2 linked regions of the Sus scrofa genome follow. The protein of the gene in region 2 interacts with the protein of the main gene of each other region in a pairwise test. Links are inferred from orthologs where the notes say so. Each region holds a gene or a part of one and is shown on either strand. Other genes may lie near its edges.

The links.
Region 1: the proteins of WDR6 (region 2) and PTPN3 interact in binary tests that used the Homo sapiens proteins (3 or more experiments, as listed by UniProt). The two-hybrid records come from large-scale screens. The link is inferred for Sus scrofa from reciprocal best matches to the Homo sapiens genes WDR6 and PTPN3.

Annotation. Positions count from the first base shown.
Region 1 is NC_010443.5:250,520,977-250,531,200, reverse strand, and holds the start of PTPN3 (tyrosine-protein phosphatase non-receptor type 3), read left to right. Parts: upstream 1-4,813; 5' UTR 4,814-5,959; coding exon 5,960-6,035; intron 6,036-10,224.
Region 2 is NC_010455.5:31,637,360-31,647,438, forward strand, and holds the start of WDR6 (WD repeat-containing protein 6), read left to right. Parts: upstream 1-4,847; 5' UTR 4,848-5,164; coding exon 5,165-5,264; intron 5,265-9,671; coding exon 9,672-10,079. Other genes in the region: P4HTM (transmembrane prolyl 4-hydroxylase), read left to right, coding at 481-577, 1,915-2,077, 2,631-2,816, 3,547-3,637, 3,842-3,965, 4,484-4,704. UniProt on the Homo sapiens protein: Together with methyltransferase FTSJ1, methylates the 2'-O-ribose of nucleotides at position 34 of the tRNA anticodon loop of substrate tRNAs. Required for the correct positioning of the substrate tRNA for methylation.

The DNA of each region.
Region 1 (10,224 bases), on a different chromosome or scaffold from region 2:
TGTGACTCGCTTTATTGCAGTATTTGCTTTATTGCCACATTAGAACCAAACCCTCAAGGTCTCTGAGGTATGCCTGTATTATAGGGTGAAAATGTGAAGCTATAGAGGGATTTTTCTGGGACAACTCAGTCCTGCTGACTTCAAGAACGTGATCCGGCACAGTATAATGTTCTTAGAACTCTAGGCATTGGTGGCTGTAATGGAAAAGCCAGTTAGTGAAAGAGTCTCTAGTTAATAGAATGCAGGGTACTAGCACTTACTGAACTTTGGAAAATTTTCTAGTGAACAGTATTATGTTTACTGGTTTAAATCCTCCTTCTCAGCCCCCCAGCACAGCTGTGTAAAAGCATTGAGTCTAAGGTCACCTTTTTCATTACAGAGACATTCACATAGTCTCATCTGTAGGGACCTCAGGATAACTTTTTCTAGCTCCCTCTCTTTACTGATGGGGAAACTGAGGCATGTCCAGGGGACGTAGTCAGAGAGCAGGGACTGGTACCCGCATCATACAGGTTCCAGCCCCCAGATCTTAGGTATGTTTTCTAGATCTCATCTGAGGAAGTTTATTAAATGGACTGTGTGTTCCTCTCATCTGGTGAACATCCTTTGACATTTCTCTGACTGTAAGAATGAGCTATACTGGTGTCGAAGCAGCTATGCATTACTTGCTCTTTTATGTAGAAGTTGCTAGGCTGATTTTTTTTTTCACTTTCATATAAAGGAGATGATATGTACCTTCCATTGAATCTGTATATTCTGTGCTAGAGTTTCTCAAACGTCAGTCCATCAGAATCACCTTTTAGGAGTTCCCATCTTGGCTCAGTGGTTAATGAACTCGACTAGTATCCATGAGGACTCAGGTTTGATCCCTGGCCTCACTCAGTGGGTTAAGGATCCAGTGTGGCTGTGAGCTGTGGTGTAGGTCACAGACGTGGCTTGGATCTGGCGTGGCTGTGGTTGTGGCATAGGCCAGCAGCTGTAGCTCCTATTCGACCCCTAGCCTGGGAATCTCCGTATGCTGAGGGTGAGGCCCTAAAAAGACGAAAGACAAAAAAAAAAAAAAGAATCACATTTTAAAACACAGGCTGCTGGGCCCCACCCCCAGAGTTTCTGATTCAGTGGCTTTGAATCAGACCCAGGTGGGGCTTTGGTATTTGCATTTCTAACAGGCTTTTCCATGATGCTGCTGGTCCAGAGACCAGGGACCTTCCTTTGAGGACCACTGCTCCAGGCTTCGTGATAGTTTCAGATGGTGTGCTTTCTGCTTTGCAGCCACTGGGCCCTCCCTGCTGCCCAAACAGCCCTCTGTCCTCCTTTGTTGCTGCCATGCCAGCCAACCTGACTTTTTTCCATGCTCTCCATGTCTCCTACCTGTCGCCCTCCTCTCCAGGTGACCTCCCCCCCCACACACACACCACCTATAGCCATGAGATGCTGAGGGCCATGTACAGGGAGTCTCCTCCCCCCACCCCCCACCTTCATTTTCTGGCTCCTCTCTTCTTTCTTCCAGTTTGAGAAAATGAGTGTCTCTGGCTGGTTCAGGCTTACCGCTCCAGTTACAGTTGAAGACTGTTGTCCTATCACCTGGGGGAAGAAAAGAAACCTTCTCCAACCCTGGCCTCACTGTTAGGTCACCGCCCCATCACCCCCTTCCTTTCACTGCGAAGCCTGCCGGAGGAATAGTTGACAGTCTCTGAAAAAGATTTGCTCTTACTGCTTTTGACACAGACATACTGTTCAGTTCTAGGAGTTCAGGTTTTCTATACCTATAATGAAAGAAAGACATTTTTAAAAAAAATTTTGGGTGCTCCTGGGCATATGGAGTTCCTGGGCCAGGAATCAGATCTGAGCCGTGGTTGTGACCTGTGCTGCAGCCACAGCGATGCTGGATCCTTTAACCCACTGCGTTAGGCTGGGGATTGAACCTGCATCCTGGTGCTGCAGAGATGGCACCGATCTTGTTGTGCCACAGTGGAAACTCCAAAAGACGTATAAAAATTGTGGTAAAATACATATGACATAAAACTTACCATCCTAACCATTTTTAAGTGTAAGTACAGTTCAGTGGCTTTAAGCACAGTCACATATTTGTGCTACTATTACCACCACAAATCCACAGAACTCTTCATCTTGCAAAAGTGAAACTCTGTCCCTTTTAAGAGAAACTCCGTTTCTCCCCCATCCATGTCCCTGGCAGCCACCCTTCTACTTTCTGTCTCTCTGATTTTAACTACTATAAAGAGACCTTGTAGAAGTAGAATCATGCAGCACTTGTCCTTCTGTGACTGGCTTATTTCACTTAGCATTAATGTTCTCCAGATTGATCCATGTTGTCACATGTGTCAGAAATCCCTAGCTTTTTAAGGCTGAGTAATACTCCAGTGGACTTACATTACCACATTCTGTTATTCATTCACCTGTCAGTGGGCTGCTTCCACCTTTCGGCTTTTGCAAGCAGTGCCGCTGTGAACACACGTGTGCCGAAGGCCGTAATTGTGGTTAAAGGGGCCTTGCAACCTCAGGTGAGATGTTTAGGAATTTATTCATCCTGCAGTCTCAGCTTCATCTGCCGCCTGCATCCCTCAGCCCAGTGTTCCCAGGCTACCCCACCCCTTGAGCAACACTACTCTTGCCGTGGGACCTGGCCAGGGCCACTCACTTGTCAGGACCGGTGGCCAGTTTGCATATCTCAGCGCATTTGATCTCTGTGCTGCAGCTTCTGTGACGCAGCTCTCCTCCTGCCTCTCCGCTCACCCTGGGCATCTGGCCCCCTTTTCCTCTCCTCTTATCCTCCTGCAGGCTTTCCTGGGTGTGCACACCCAATCCCATCCTCGGGGGCGCACAGGTCTATCATCTCTGTGTATATCACATCCCAGCATTTCCCTCAAGGGTCCTCAGCTTCCCCACTTTGCACACACATGTCCAGAGCAGAGCTCTGCACCTTCCTCCTTAAAAAAGCTCTCTCTGTAAGTGACAGGATCTTCCAGCTTAGAAACCGCAGGGTCTCCTTTCTCTCCCCCGACAGTGACAGCAGCGCTGGACAGATCCCACCCGTCTGTCACACCTCAGCCCCTCCTGCAGCCTGCCCCCTCCTTCCCACCCCGCACTGGGACTGGGTCACTGCACATGCTTCTCCCCTTTGCCTCCACTTTGCTGCTCTCCCTAGCAAGCCCCTCACACCTAGACCTCCCTCACGTTGCTTCCAGAAAGTGTTCCCTGCAGAAGCACTAAGATCACCTCTTCTTTGCCGGTCCTGTGTCACCTGCCTCCATCTGACCTTGTTTTCCCCTCCCCACCCCTCAACCCCCCACGGCCAGCCCTGCAAACCCTAGACTACACCAGGGCTTCCCAAGCTTCAGTGTTAAGATACAGATTCCGATTTAAGGAGTTTGGGGTGGGCCCTGCCTTCTGCGTCTCTAACAAGCTGGGTGGTGTTGAGACTGTGGCCCAGAGATCACAGGTTGAGTAGCTGGACTCCAGTACAGACCTGCATCTCACAGAGTGCTATTCCAGTCTGTAAATGATGGAGGGATTAATTTTGTGTTGCAATTTTAACATTTTCTGTTTTATACAAGGTTAATCTTAAATGTTTTCAGTCGCAGAGCAGATTCCTTGTTACAGTGATTATTTGCTCCTAAAAGACATTTTCGAAGATGAAGGCTTTGGTTTCTTGGGTTAGCGTATAGATCCAGGTGCGTGAATGTATCGCAGAGGCGGTGTGAGAACGTCTCCCCATTGAAGGGGTCCATCCTCAGGTTGGGCTCCGTCTTGTGAGCTCCCCCAGGGTAGAGACGGCCTCTTAGCTCCATCCCCAGGGTGCAGCTGGGCCTCCTTGGGAAGGAGGCAGGTCTCCAACCCTCCTCTTGGAGATGGTGGTGGACACAGCCGATTTGATATGGGCAGACTGGGCTTGGAGGGGGAGCCCCATCATGTTGGGGGAGGGAAAGTTTCGGGCAGCTGGGCCCTTTTTCATGACTCTTGATAAGGCTTTGCTGTGGGGGAGCTGCTTGGGAGAAACCCCCGGTGCTGGTGTCCCTGGCGCTGGGCTTCCTCCTGGAGAGGGGAGGGGAGGGCAGAAGGCAAGCGATGGAGCCCAGCATGCCAGGGGGATCTGACTGCATTTCCCGCTTTGGGAGGGTCTGAGGAGCATGTCTTAAATGGTGAAGGGGCTGGTTTGTGGGTGAGGGAATGGGACGAGGGTCAGGGAGGAGGTGGCTGTTTGGGGCCAGCCCACTCCAAAAGCATCATTGCTCCTGTTGCCCTGAAAGTCTCAGCCCTTTAGTCGGTCACTACAGGGCTTCGCGGTCTGGCCCCTGTACCTCTCCCACTTGTGTGTTACTTGTCCCCATGTTTCTAGGTCCTGGTTAAGTGACTGTCCCCAGCTAAAGTGCAGACATTCCTCCTCCTCCTCGGAAGCTCGCTCTGTGAGGCTGTGGTGCCCACCATCTCTCCCGGCGCAGGGTGTAAGCTGGGGTTGTCTCCAGAAGCCCTCTTACTCCCTGACCTCCCAAAGCCTCCACTCCCTCACTTCCACAGCGGGAATGACAGGTGTCCCCATGTAGGGTCAGGTGAAGATTCCACAATGACACGTGCTTCTTCTGGTGGCACATAATTACTCAGAAAGTCTCTGCCTGCCATCTGTCCCTCTCAGTGAGCTTGACAGAAGGACCGTCGTGTGCCACTTGTCCACAGGTGGAGGCCGGGGCTCAGATGGCGAGGGCTGTGACACGCACGTGCTGTCCTGGGCCAGGTGGGGCCGGGGGGGATGTGAAGGTCAGTGGGACTGAGGGGGTGGACGCTCTGGAGGTGGGGTGTCAGCTCGCTGCGTCTATGTTGATGCCAAAAGGTGGCAGCTGGCAACAGCATGAAGAGGAGGAAGCCAAAGGCCTGGGGAGTGGAGTTGAGGCAGAGAGCAGGGCCTCTCACACTTCCGTGCACATATGAGAAGATTCAGGTTCTGGAGGCCTGGGGTCAGGGTGAGCGTCTGCTTTCCTAACCAGCGCCCGTGTTATGCTGATGCCTCGAGGCTGGACACCACACTTTGAGTGGTATTGGTCAGGAATGTGACTCATGGTGGCGAGGCTCGGGGAGAAGGGGCTGTCGAAGCAAAGTCAGCACAGCTGCCTGGCTTTCTAGCCAGCCCCACGGAGCAAGTGCCGCCGGGGGTCTGGGGTCTGGAGGGTGAGATCGGAGTCAGATTGTGGGTGATGGATGAGGGGCAGTAGGGGCCACTACAGGCTTTGGGATAAGTAGTGTGTGGGTGATTTGATTTTGCTGTTTGATACGCCATCCTTCAAGGTCAATTTTTGCCATTAGAATCCCCTTAAAAGCTATTTCCTTCTGTCCCTGGCTGCACTGTGGTCACACCTGAGACAAGGCCCCCACAGCCTGGGGCACACCTGTCTTCATAGCACTTCCCACACGGAAAGGTGGTTATTTAATTTTTCATGAGTCTCTCTCTGACAAGCCTCTCGGTTCCCCAAGAGCAGGAACCTGAGACGGTTCTTATTCACCTCTGCACCCTTGCACCCGCCATGGAGCCTGGCCACAGCCGGGGCTCATAAACTGCCTGCGGCGCCATAGAGGGGTGAAGGCAGGATGTTCATGCAGAAGGCGTGTGTAAAGCCCTGTGACGGGCAGATCAGGAGAACCAAGCCCTGAGTCGGGTGCCTGGGCGAGTGTCGGTGTGGATGGGAGAAGATGGAGTGAGGAGTCAGCAGAACCTCAAATGAACATGCCAGGAGCATCTTCAGAAGACAGAACCCAGGCTCAGAAAGGGTGATCGCCTGGGGTTTGGATTTGGGCAGCACTGTGAGAGTTGGGCTGTGAGTTTTCTGGAGTGGTGGAGGCTTCGACGAGGGGAATGGGCATTTCAGCCAAGAAACCACTGCTTTGATCCAGGATCCCAGAGCAAAACTGCTTTTCTGCACCCCTCAGGAGAGGACAGGTGTCCGGATTTATGCAGATTGGGAATAAGGACATTACTCCCCGTCCATCAGCGTGCCCTATGTACAGCGCTTCACAAGGTAGAGCCGGTAGGTTGGGGCCCATCCTGTGCTAGGGCTTAGAGACCCTCACAGCACTTAGCATGTTGCACCTCAGCTGCAAAGGGCGTGGTGAGGTGAGGGTCTAACTCGCTGAACCTCAGAGGCCCTTGAGGTGGGGGCCTTCAGGTCCCTGTGAGCTGGGTTCAACCTCATTCTCCTGAGGAGGATGTGGAGTCTCAGAGAGGTTCAGTATCTTACCCGGGGTCACACAGCGGGGAAGCGGAAGAAGAGTCAGGCGCCATCGTGGGTCTGTGGGCCAGGAGGGTATCAGGTGGGGCAGCCCAGCTTGGACCAGGATTTCGGGGGGTGGGGCAGCAGGTATGGCAACTGAGTCAGAGCTGTGGCAGGGTGGGGGGCAAGCGGGAGGAAGAGGAGGAGCAGGGTGGGCTGAACGCAGAAAGGGGCCAGGACGTGACCCAGTCGAGGGATGGAGGGTTAAGCAGTTGCAACCTGGGCACCAGTGAGGTATCAGGTAAGAGTATTTTAAGTTCTGTTGATTTTTGGAGTCATTATTGCTCATAGAAAACTTAGGCAATACAGAAAGTTTGAAAGAATAGAAAAATGAACACATTTTCACAGTCTTGTGAATTCCCTTCGTAGTTGTGGTCACAGCATAAGTACAATTTTATAACTAGCCCTTTTTACTTAATATTCTAATAGTTTCCATGTCATTGTGAAGTCTTCATGGAAGTTCTGTGGCTAGTTTATGATTTACTTAACTGGCCCCCTAAGGTTAGAAATCAGCTTTTGGGTTGCAGTTTTCAGTGTTACGTCACTGGAAGGAAGAACCTTGCAAATAAAACTTTCATGTCTGGATATATCCTGACCGTAGGTCCCTAGAAATGGAACTACTGGGTCCAACCACCGCCCGGCATTGTTGGAATGCTATGCTGCTAGGAGTGCTGACACGAGCCTTCTAGAAGTGCAGGCGTAAGCCTTGTGCACACTAGCTGTTCATTCATGTGTGTGTGTATTTCACAAGCACTTATTAGGCACCCATGGGGAGAGACTGCTTTCTACAGCCAGGTCAGCACCGCAGCAGCTGCCGGCCTCCTGGGCTTGGCTGAGATGCGTGGGAGTGTTGACAGCACTCCATGTCCCAGCCCCACCTGCCCAGTCACAGGTGCAGGAGCCCGGGACAGCCTGTGGGCCTCTGGCTGCAGGTTCCAGGCAGCGCTCACCTGGGCGTGTGAAGCTGCCCGCCTCCACCTCTGTAAACGCTTTTCGTGACACGGAAATGCTGAGTGTGGTGCTCCCTACTTTGTCCCTTTCTCCACGCCTTTCGCAGATACTTACCTGGTACCCACGGCCTGCTCGGCACTGTTCCAGGGACCAGGGATACAGCAATTGACAGTGACGTCCCTGCCTTTAAGGAACTTTCACTCCTGTGGGAGGTAGGGACGTGGAAATTGGGAGGAGACAAGCAGTGGACATATTAGGTCCAGCGCTGATGAATGCTGAGGAGAGGAGGGATGGGGAGGGCGCACTGATGGGCTGAATTGTTGAGCAGACCTGTACAGGGAGGGACAGAGCCCGGTGCAGGATGTCTGAGGGAAGGGCATTCTGAGCACAGGGAACAGCAGCTGCGAACACCTGTGGCAGGAACCAGCCTGTAACAAGCAGGTCCAGGGAAGGGGGCCGTGTGGCTGGCTCAGGGTGAGCAGATGACGTGGACAGGGAGGGGGCCCTCATGTAGCAGAATGAGTCAGGATCCAGGGTTCATTTTTCCACTGGCAGGTTTTGGAGCCCAAGGGCCACTCCCACCATTTGAAGCAGTTCAGCCTCCCCTCATGCCTTTCTGACCCTCAAGCGGGTGACCACGCAGGCCTGCGTTTGGTGGGAAAAGGCCTGGAGTGGAAGCCCAGGCTTTGGGAAGTCACTGGCTCCACTGGAGCTTCTGTTTCCTCCTCTGTGCGATGAGAGACTTGAACAAGGCACGTTGAGCTTTCCAGGGCCAGGACCCTTGGCTCTGTCCTTAGTTAAGTGCATTGGTTAACTTTGGATTGTTTTAGTTGAATAGAAGTGGGTAAGGCAGTTGCTCATGCACATTTAGTTCTTAATATGGTCAGCCTCTCCGGTTTGCTTTGTTATAGACAAGAGTCTTTGGACCAGCTGTCAGTGGTCTCACAGTGGTGATGAGAAGTAGGCGGGGGATGGAGGATACTCCTTGGCTGTAGTTTATCCACTTCACTAGCCATTCATCCCACAGTTAATTATGGAGCACCTGCTGGGTACCAGGCACTGGGTCATGATTTTTAAAAGACCCAGACCCCGCCTTTAAGAAGTTCACAGTCTAGAAGTTCCCACTGTGGCACAGTGGGTTAAGGATCCAGCATTGTCACTGCAACAGCTTGGGTCACTGCAGTGGCATAGGTTTGATTCCTGAAAAAAGAAAATTAAGTTCAGGAACTCCTGTCTTGGTGCATTGGAAACAAATCTGACTAGTAACCATGTGGTTGTAGGTTCGATCCCAGGCCTCGCTCAGTGGGTTAAGAATCTGGTGTTGCCGTGACCTGTAGTGTAGGTCACAGACGTGGCCCAGTCCTGCATTGCTGTGGCTGTGGTGTAGGCCAGCAGCTGTAGCTCAGATTCGCCCCCTAGCCTGGGAACCTCCATATGCCACAGGTGCGGCCCTAAAAAGCAAGGATTGATGCCCTAAATACGAGCTAAAGCCATGGAACAAAAGCAAAATAGGTAAATTGGACTTCATCAAAATTAAAATCTTTTGTGCCTCAAAAGACATTATCACAAGCTCCCATTGTGGCTCAGTGATAGCGAGCCCAACTAGTATCCCTGAGGATGTGGGTTTGATCCCTGGCCTCTCTCAGTGGGTTAAGGATCCGACATTGCTATGAGCTGTGGTGTAGTTCACAGACACTCGGATCCTGCATTGCTGTGGCTGTGGTGTAGGCCAGCAGCTGTGGCTCAGACTCCACCTCTAGCCTGGGAGCTTCCATATGCCGCAGGCATGGCCCTATAAAGCAAAAGCAAAAAAAAAAAAAAAAAAAAAAAAAAACAGACATTATCAAGAAACAGCCTACAGAGTGGGAGAAAATATTTGCAAATAATATCTGACAAAAGTTTACCGTAACATAGAGAATAAAGAACTCCTGTAACTCAATCCAAATTGAGATAACCCAGTTTAAAAATGGGCAGAGGACTTGAGTAGATGCTTCTCTGCAGACCTACAAATGAACACATGAAAAGATGCTTAACCTCAGTCATTAGGGAAATGCAAATTAAAACCCCAGTGAGATATCACTTGACCCCTTCTAGGATGCCTATGATCAAAAGTATTGATAAGGATGTGGAACCCTTTTACCTTGCTACTGGGAATGTAAAATGCTGCAGCCTCTGTAGCAAAGTTCGGTGGCTCTTCAAAAACAAAACGTAGAGTTACTGTATGACCCAGCAGTCATACTCCTAGGACTCCAAAGAATTGAACATGGGCACAACCAGCCACTTCTACAGAGATGTTCACTGTAGCTCTGTTTACAGTACAGTAGCCAAATGGTAGAAGCAGCCTAAGTGTGAGCAAATGGATGGATAAACAAACTAGGGTCCCACCATACAATGGAATATTATTCAGCCTTGAACAGGAATGAAGCTCTTATACATGCCTCAGCATGGGTGAACCTTAACCATGATGCTCAGTGAACTAAGCCAGTCACAAAAGGACAAATATGGTAGAATTCCACATGTATGAAATACCTAGAATAGGCGAATTCATAGACAGAGTAGATGAGAGGTTGCCGGACGTTAAGGGAGGGACTGGGGTGTTATTGCTTCATGGGTACAGAGTTTCTGTTTGGAGCTGTGGGAAAGTTCAGGAAATAAATAGTGGGGGTGGTTGCAAAACATGGTGAATGTAATGAATGCCGCTGAATTGTGCACCTAAAAATGATTGAAATGGCACATTTTATGTTTAACTGTAATAATAAAAAGACCAGAGCACGTTGTATGATATCTGGGAGGAGAATGACCTTGTCAGGAGCCACTGGGTCCAGGTTCTGTTCTGTGCCAGGTCACTTCAGGCATGGTCCTTGCTGTCTTTTTATTTTGGGGTTTGGGGTTTTGTTTTCTGGTGTGGTTTTTTTGTTTTGTTTTCTTTTCTTTTCTTTTTATAGGCACACCTGCGGCACACAGAAGTTCCCCGGCTAGGAGGTTGAAATCGGAG
Region 2 (10,079 bases):
CTCAGGCTTCTGTGGGGTCCCTTGCCTACACAAAGTGCCTTACTGAGCCCATTCTCCCTAAGGAGGCCATTAGCCGACCAGGCCTTCCCATGGTGCCTGTTCCCTCTTCGCCCACAGGCCTTGGCCCCCCACCCCCACCCCCCAGCAACCTCACCTGGTGTATCTGGGCGGGACATAGGCCTGTCCTTCACTCTGCCTCCAACAAGCCAACAGTGTTCCCCATAGAAGCCAGAGTCCCAGTGGGGCTGGGAGTGGTCATGGCCCTCAGGTGTCGGCTGACTTCCTGGCCTCCTTCCCACATGCCTCTGTAACTCTCTGCCTGCCCTCACTTCAGCTTAGGGGCCTAAGGCTCTGTCCTGTGTCCTCACCCATGTGCTGTCACCTGAACCCTTAGCCCTACAGAAAGAACTAGGCAGCTCTCTGGGCTCTGATAACTCCATCACTGGGCCACCCCCACTGAGGCACCATCTTGTGCTTTAGGTCCTGGCCCAGACTCGCCTGGGAAATGGACGGTGGATGACTCCAGAGAACATTCAGGAGATGTACTCTGCGATCAAGGCTGACCCTGATGGTGATGGTGAGCTCATACCTCGCCACAAACCTGTCCTCGTGAGCCTCCTGCCCACCAGCCAGGCAGCCTCTCTGCCCAGCTTGTAGAGTAGCCAGAGATGAGAAGGTGAGGATCCAGCCTTGCCTTCACGGCTGGGAGGTGAGCAGGAGCTAGACCTTGCCATTTGGCTTGGTAACAGTCTAGAGGACAGTTTTTGGAGACCCTTTTGACTTCATCAGACAGCCTCTGGAGCATAGGAGGTATGGTTGCTGGCTGACAGAGGGCAGATTGGTAGAGCGGAAGCAAAGGGACAGTGAGGTCAGTTTCGCATCTGCCTCTCCCCAGTCTGGCCCAGCAGTCAGCCTCCTTGCTCTAACCAAGGTGTCCCCTTGCCTTCCTCTCACCCACTCAGAGTCATGCTAACTGCTGGGGGTGGGTGTGGGTAGGGATGTTGTGTAAGCACCCTCCCCTTTGGTAATAACCCTCAGAAAGTCTCTGAAGTGTAGTCACCACCCTCACGTCCAAGTGTGGACCAGTTGAGGAAATGGGACTTGGAAGAACAGCCTTGTGGCAGAGTGAAGAATCTGCCAGGACCTGTGGCTGGAGGGTTATCATGCTGCTACTGCCTCTGTGTACAGAGCTAGTGACAGACTCTCAGCCCTTGAGCCCCCCCCACCCTCAGAGGAAAATAGGCCAAAGCATGAAAGTGCCTCATTTGGGTCAGCCAGGATAACATGGAGCAAAGACATCAGCTACTCTTCCAGAACCCCAAAAGGGTAGAGCCCAGCTTTTTGGGTTGGGCAGGAAAAGGGAGAGTGTTCTCATTTGGGGGGGTGCCCTGGCTCTTTCTGCTCGGGTGGACTGGTTATCCAGCAGGCAGGTGTATTCCACTCAGGATAAGACTTTAGGTCACGAGGGAACTCCTGGGGACCAGTCCCACTACAGTGTGGATGGCCCTGGACAAAAGCAGCACTGAATGCTCTCTTTCTTCACCTGCTACAGGACTGGAGGGTGGCCACCACACTCTACAGAGCCAAGCTGGAGGGCCAGGGACAGTCCTTGGCCTAGGGTCCTGGCCACATGGCTTAAGCTTCCTTTGGAGAGACCCCGCTGTGGTCAATCTAAAAGGGGTTGGGCTTCATCCTTTTGGGGGCCAAATCAGGGCTTAAACTGAGGAAATAAACCTTTTGGGTCTTCCTGTAGGGCCTGATGTGACAGAAGCCAACTTCATCTGACCCAAGTCCAGGTTGGGGTGCACATGGCCCCCGAGTGCCTAAGGCCAGGGGAAGGTAGGAAGGTGTATCCCCCTAGTGTGGCCTCCCCCCACGGGCTTGGTGGGCATTGATGGTGGTTGCCCTGTGCAGGAGTGCTGAGCCTGCAGGAGTTCTCCGACATGGACCTTCGGGACTTTCACAAGTACATGAGGAGCCACAAAGCAGAGTCCAGTGAGCTGGTGCGTAACAGCTACCACACGTGGCTGTACCAGGGTGAAGGTGCCCATCACGTCATGCGTGCCATCCGCCAGAGGTGAGCACCTGAGGCTGTCCTCTCTGGTGCAGGGGGAGAGGACCACCAGGGCCCTTGAAGACCTTGGCTATTAACCAATTCAGGATTAAGTTCCAGTTGTTAGACTAGGATTGGGACCCATTAGGAGACAGATGATTAACAAAGGCCAGTTAACCCTAACTGTGGGCAAACAATATACATTTGGGATAAGAAAAAGGCTGAATGTTTGTCTTCTGCTAATTAGAGAAATGACCTCTTATCTCTGTCCACAGGACCCCCTGCCCCTGAGCAGCCAGGGGTTTTAGATAACCACCTCCTTCCTGGAGGGAATGTCTCTCCCTTGCCCAACTTAGTGGAAGTCTCCTCTTTCCCACCCAGTGGATGTTTCTGGCATCCAGGAAAAAGGGCTCATCATGAGTAACCCTTTCCTGTTCCTACAGGGCCAGTCTGGGGTGGCTTAAGGGGCTTCCAGGGGAAATAGGAAGGGGGAGAGCTTTTGGCAGGGACCACCCTGCCAGCTCCTTCAGGTGCCACCTGGCATGGGGCTGCCAGGCTGATGTCTGCTGCCCACCAGGGTGCTGCGCCTCACCCGCCTGTCACCTGAGATCGTGGAGCTCAGCGAGCCGCTGCAGGTCGTGCGGTATGGCGAGGGAGGCCACTACCATGCCCATGTGGACAGCGGGCCTGTGTACCCAGAGACCATCTGCTCCCATACCAAGCTGGTAGCCAACGAGTCTGTACCCTTTGAGACCTCCTGCCGGCAAGTACCTCCCACCTGGACACTGCCTTCAGTTCCCAGTCAGGCACCCCCATGACACAAGCACAGCCCTGCCCTGTGGGTGTGCCCCTTAGTATGTGGCTGGCAAAGTGCTGGGCCATCTTTGTCAAAGATACCCGCACTTCTCCCCCAAGTTGTTTACCAGCTGGCCCAAAAGGGTGGCTATCTTGTCTTGGTGGCTAGACTGAGGTACCCACAGACACTCAAACTCGCCCCTAGAGCTTTCAGGCAAGGGGCAAGTCTGGACCCCTGATTATTTCTGCCCCCTTCTGTGGTTGTTAATCCTGCCTCCACTGCTAGAGACCTCAGCTTCTCCCTTAAGTTGTGTCCCCCTTCCCTGTCAAGGTGTGGTGGCAGATCTTTCATCTTCATGTGGCTGCTCTGGCTTAGCCCCTGCCAGTTGCAGCCAGCCTTCCCCCTGCATGATCTTGCTGCTCCTGCTAGCCTGCCTTTCCCAGCTGACCCTTGGTCAAGACCATGTAATTTAGCTAACTGCACCTGAGATTTTGGCCACAAAAAACATTGTGACACCCAGAAGGAGACTTGTGGGAAGAATGGCCTAGGGACGTGTTGCTACTGACCTCCCTTGTTATCACGAAACCCAGCCTGCCCCTCTGGCCCTTGGGAACCTGGGCAGCTTATCCTGCCCACAGGTAAGCCTCTGGGAGTGTCCACAGATGGGGACCTGCTCAACAGCCCCCCTGCCTTACAGCTACATGACAGTGCTGTTTTATTTGAACAACGTCACCGGTGGGGGCGAGACTGTCTTCCCTGTAGCAGACAACAGAACCTATGATGAAATGGTAAGGGCCAACCCGGCTGTTACTCTGGTGGGATGGCAGGGCCTTGGGCAAATGTAGTGTATACCTCCCCCTTCAGACTTGGGATGAGGCCTAAACTGTCCCTTGAGCACTGGTGTCCCTCTGGCCACCTTTGGCTGCCTGGCCTTAGGCTCCTGGCCATACAGTAGGGATGGCTTGTAAACCCCATCACTCTGCTGCCCACAGAGTCTGATTCAGGATGACATTGACCTCCGTGACACTCGGAGGCACTGTGACAAGGGGAACCTGCGTGTCAAGCCCCGTCAGGGCACAGCAGTCTTCTGGTACAACTACCTGCCTGATGGGCAAGGTGAGGAACTTTGGCCAGGCTAGGGCTGCCTTGCGAGAAGCTTCCCTTTACTCAGCCCTGAATGCCACCCTGGGGAGCTGTTTCTGCCTGTCCTTCAAGTGGCTTTCTGCCCTTCGTCCCTCCCAAAGGCCATCCTCAGTGACTTCACCAGCCAGCACCTGTGCAGCCTCCTGGGTTATCTGGAGCCCTGTGATTCCCTGATGCCACATAGCTTTCCCGCTCATTGGGGCTGGGGACTTGTGCCCCTCAGTAACCCAGACTGGGAAGGTCTGTGGACAGGCCTGGCAGCTGGTTTCAGAGGGCTAGAGGTCTTGATAAGGCATTCACTGGAGAGAGATGCTGAGCCCCCAAGGAGGCCTTGGGGCCGTATGTTTGCCACTGAAGGTGTGCGCAGCTGGGCCTACCCTTGCCATGCACTTAGGCTACATGAGGCCAAACTCAGGCCAGCCCACAAGCTCAAGTCAGTCCAGCCTGGAGTCCCTACCGTCCCCTCGCTTGCTCACATCCTCCTCTCCTAGGTTGGGTGGGCGATGTGGACGACTACTCGCTGCACGGGGGCTGCCTGGTCACACGCGGAACTAAATGGATTGCCAACAACTGGATCAACGTGGACCCCAGCCGGGCGCGGCAGGCGCTCTTCCAGCAGGAGATGGCGCGCCTGGCCCGCGAAGGTGGCGCCGACTCGCAGCCGGAGTGGGCCCTGGACAGGGCCTACCGCAACGCGCGTGTGGAGCTCTGAGGGGAGTGTCCACCCTGAGGTCGGGGCCCTGCCGTCCCTCTGTCTAGCCGCAGGTCAAAGGCCTGGCCATTGTCTTGCCCCATCCCTGCCTCCAGCCACGATTAGGACATAGCTCCTATATCAATGTTATTTATTGTGTACAGACCTATGCTGCCCCGACAAATAAAACTACACGGTTTGGAGCTGCAGGGCGGAGAAGCTCCGGGGCGGGAGCGAGACCGGGCGAGGCGGAGCGCTGCGGAATCACGTGAGGGGGCGGGCACGAGCGGCCCCACCAATCCCAGCCTGACGGCGGGGGCGGGGGGCGGCCGTCATTGGACCTCTGCGGCGGGCGCCCTTGCCTCAGCTACCTGTTGCTAAGGCCGCTGTAGAGCTGCTGCGGGGCCGCGCGGGAAGGCTCCTCTCGCGGTATCTCTGCTCCTTTCTTGGCCGTGGCAGTTGCAGCCGCTCGTGGGTAGACATGGACGCTCACGAAGACTACGTTTGGCCGCGAGCAACCTCGGAGCTCATACTCCTCCCGGTCACGGGTCTGGAGTGCGTGGGGGAGCGGCTTTTGGCGGGTGAGCTTGATTTTGTGGCGCGCGCTAGCGAAGAAACCGAACATTTGCCTGGGGAGGGGCTTTAAGAACAAAGGGATGCTCGGAGGAGGAGGAAGAGGGGGGCGGGGGGCAGGTGGCGGGCGGGAGCCTAGGAGATGGCAGAGCTCCGGAGCGGCTGTAGTAGCCTAGGAAACAAAGGCTCCTAAGGCCTTTCATAAACTAGGTGACGCGGAGAGGGGAGCTGGGCTGCAGAAAGATGCGCGGGAGCGCGGTCGGCTGGGGCGGGGCAAGGGGAAGGAGAGACACCTGTGGCCGCGTCGCTGAGTTGGGCGGGGGCCTGGCCTCACTAGAGGGCCGCAGCGGGGAGGTCGGCGACAAGCCCCCCGTCCCCCATGTTGGTTTGGGTCCAGGACGCTTGTGGCCCGGTGGGGAAGCGGGGATGGAAGGAGCAGTAGGTGAGGCTCTTCCCTGGAAAATGAGGATGAAGAGCGTCTGATCGGGTCGTGGGGAGACCAGGGATGAGACCTTTTTAGGTTGGCCAGTGCTTGGAGAGGCGTAGGCTGAGGCCTCTTCCAAGATAGTTGGGGTCCAGCAATCCTGATATACGACTCCCCGACTCCCCTCCGAGGAGGGTCGGCTGGGGACGTAGACGCCTGGGAGCTGAGGTGGCAGAGTCCTGGGGAGCACTGAGGCCTGACTGAAAGCCATTAGTGACCAATGATGGTGATCTGAGTTTTATCAACTGAAAAAAAGTGCACAACCTAAAAGAATTATGTTTTATCTGGTAGCCAAAACTAAGAACTTAAGCCCAGAACACAGCTTCTTAGGTAACTCTGAAAGGCTGCTCTGAAGAGGCAAGGGGAAGGGGGGGAGGAGGAAGCCAGAATATATAGAAGTGTTTGCAACAAAAGGTCTGCTAGTTGGAACAACAAAAGATTATTGTTACTCAAAGAAAACCAGACATCTCAAGTTAATGAATTTAGTGTTTTGTTGTTGTGGTTTTTTTTTTTTTTTTTTGTCTTTTTTTGTCTTTTTCCCATTTTCTCTGGCTGCTCCCGCGGCATATAGAGGTTCCCAGGCTAGGGGTCGAATGGGACCTGTAGCCGCCCGCCTACGCCAGAGCCACAGCAACGCGAGATCCGAGCTGCGTCTGCAACCTACACCACAGCTCAGGGCAACGCTGGATCCTTAACCCAACTGAGCAAGGCCAGGGATCTAACCTGCAACCTCATGGTTCCTGGTCGGATTCGTTAACCACTGAGCCATGATGGGAACTCCGAATTTAGTGTTTTTTTAATGTATGGGAAGATGCAGAGTCTGGGCTCATTGAAATCATACTTTAGATATGCACCTCAGCTCTGGGGCTAGGACCCAGTGTTTTTCCCATCCTGAGTCTCTTAAGGATGCACCAATGGGGGTGGCTTCAGCATTCTCTGCAGGGCTCGCAGTCCGGGTAACTGTGCTGTGGTGGCCTGATGGCTGCAGTATCCTTTGTTTACTGATATGGCCTGCAGTTTTTCTTTTTTGGCGGCCTTGTGACGTATGGATTTCCCGGGCCAGGGATCAGATCAGAGCCCAGCTGCAGCAATCCCAGATTCTTTAATTTGCCTTGCTGCCCCGGGCACCACCAATTCCATTGTACCACAGTGGGAACTCTGGGCAGGCAATATTTTTCATTCACAGTTCGATAAGGGTCTTGAGGCAGGACAATGGCTGTCAAGCCTTGAATGCGCTGCCAGTCCTAAGAGGGATGGCTGTGTGTGGGTGGGGATGGATGGAGGGATGGCCCAGTTTTGATCTGGTGTGGGGGCTCTGGGAGCCCAGGGTTCCTACCATGAACTAAACTCATAAGGCTCCTGAAGGAGAGGATAGCTAGGCAGAAACCTGAACAACCACACGACGAGTAAACTAGGAGAAAGGGTGAGTTCCTGTCAGAGGGTGAGCGTGCCAAAGGCCTCGAGACTGAGAGAATCTGTCCCTTTGTGGGGAACGGGGAATGCTTGTGAGCCTTCAGCAGGGGTGGAGGTCTAGAAGAGACTGAGCAGAGGCCAGAACATTTTAGGCCTAGACCTGACTTTATCTCTAATGGAATAAAACCCATTGGTGAAGCCCCACTGAAAGGTTTTAAGCAGGGGAATGGCTTGGGAAATGCAGGTTAGAAAGATTTCAAAGTGAATTCCCCTGCTCCCGTGACTTCAAAAGTGACTTTATATTGACATTTCTCAGATCCCACCCATGTGTACCTATAATCTGAATTCCCAGCCCTGTTTGTTTGCGAGTGTCAGGCTCAAGTGCAACAGGTACCTACAAATTGAAGTATTCCTTCTGGGCATTCCAGCACGCAGGTGCCAGCCATTCAGGTGCCCAAGACCAAGAATCTACCTCACTCCCCAAGCCAGTCTCATTTTTTGGCACTTCATACAAGTGGCATCTTTTGGTTTGCCTTTTCTGCCATCATTCGAGGCCATGCAACTCTGTCTCCCTGATCCTCTTAGTAGCATTCTCTCTAGCCCATCCTTGAGCCCTTCATTTCTTCTAGCCATACTGCCCAAAGCTCTTGCTCACCTCAGGGACATCAAAGTTGCTATTTCCTCTGCTAAGAAAGTTCTCCTCCCTTCTGCCTGCTCTTCCTCTGGCCAACTGCTGCTGATCCTTAATTCCTCACTTTAAATGTTAGGTAGTCAAGTTGGCTTCCCCTGAACTCACCCAGTCTGCTTAGATTAGACCAGGGTTTCTCAGTCTAAGTATTACTGATGTTGGATCAGATCATTTTTTGTGTGAGGGGCTGTCTATTCATTGTAGGAGGTTTAGCAGTATCCCTAGCCTCCATGCCTAGATGCCCAGGAGCACACACATCTCTCAGTTTGGACAACCAAAAGTATTTTCAGACATTACCAGATGTCTTCTGGGGTGAAAATTGCCTCCATGTTGGAAACCACTGAAGTAGACTTTCCCATTTCATTTTCTTAACGTGCTCTATATAGTACTTTCCTGAAACTTACCAAGGTTATAATGATGTCGTTCACTTGTGTGGTATCGTTTAATGTCTGCCTAATCCACAGCAGCAGGGTCTTGTTCACTGCTTCAGCATATAGTTCATTACCTGGTTTGTCATCAATGCTCATGTATTGAATATTGAGATTGAGATTGGAGGCTGGGAATAGCATGGGGGATTGATATTGTCATTTCAGGTTAAGAGGTGTTGTCCTGGACCAAAGTCAACTATAGTGGGTTGGATTGCAAAGTCTTTGGTGTTTTTTTGTTTGTTTGTTTCGTTTTATTTTTAGGGCTGCACTTGCAGCATATGGAGGTTCCCAGGCTAGCGGTCAAATCAGAGCTACAGCTGCCGGCCTACCCCACAGCCACAGCAACTCGGCATCTGAGCCACATCTTCGTTCTACACAGCTCACTGCAGTGCTGGATCCTTAACCCACTGAGTGAGGCCAGGGATCGAAGCCACATCCTCATGGATTCTAGTTGGGTTCGTTAACCACTGAGCCACGAAGGGAACTCTGGATTGCAAATTCTTTAGAAAATGAAATCTACAGATCTTTAGAAAATGAAGTCTACAGATCTGCAGAACTTGGATACAGATGTGGCAAGTTAAGAGGAATGGGCTTTCTAGTTTGTGGGGGGCAGGGTGGGCAGAGGATGGTAATGGTCATTGGGATGAGCAGCATGGAGCAAACTAGATGAGTCAGCAGCATGGGACGTGCCTGCAGGGCAGCCAAAAGGCAGTTGGGGGTCACAGCTGAGGGTCTGCTGTCAAAGCGTGAGCTGCCCTCTCCCCATTTTAAAAATAAATTTATTTTTTTTATTATGTCTCTCTCTATTGATAGTGAACATGCTCACATCTTCTGAGATACAGAGAAGCTCCTGGAAATCAGGAGTCTTTCTGCTGTGGCCTCAAAGTAGAAAGCTTGACTTGTGGGACTATCTCTTCCCTGGAGGAGGAAGGGAGTAGAAAGAATGTCTGTAGAGGTAAACGAGGCCAAGGATTTGGGGGACAAAACTGAGAGGATTCCTGTCTGAAGCATGGGAAGTTAAATGGGATGAGGAGGAGACTAAGTTTGAGGAATTCATGTTTGAACTGAATGTCATGGGTGACTGATGAGGGGATCAGAAAGTCAGGACTGGGAGTTCCCTGGTGGCTCAGTGGCTCTGGTTCCATCCCTGACCTGGACACTTCCACATACTGTAGGCAAGGCCAAAAGGAAAAAAAAAAAAAAAAAAAATTAAGTCAGGACTGAAAGTACAGCTGAAGCTGAGACCAGGATTTTCCAAGGTTCAAGTCTGCAGTTTGAGCATACTTGCAGTAACCTAATAGGTTCATAAGCTACATACTGAGAATTTTCCCTACTCCCTGTTTCTTCATGGCTCATCAGAGTTAGGCGAGGGGTTCTTATGTGGCTTTTTGCCTTTGTCTAGGTGAGGGGCCAGATGTCCTCGTGTACACCTTGGATTTTGGCGGACATCTGCGGATGATGAAACGAGTGCAGAACCTGCTTGGCCACTATCTTATCCATGGGTTCCGGGTGCGACCAGAACCCAACGGAGACCTTGACTCGGAGGCCATGGTGGCAGTGTTTGGGAGCAAGGGACTCCGAATTGTGAAAATTAGCTGGGGACAGGGCCGCTTCCGGGAGCTCTGGCGCTCTGGCTTGTGGAACTTGTCTGACTGGATCTGGGATGCACGTTGGCTCGAGGGGAACATGGCCTTGGCCCTGGGCCACAACTCAGTAGTGCTGTACGACCCTGTGGTAGGGTGCATCCTGCAGGACGTGCCCTGCACAGACAGGTGCACCCTCTCCTCAGCCTGTCTGATTGGAGACACCT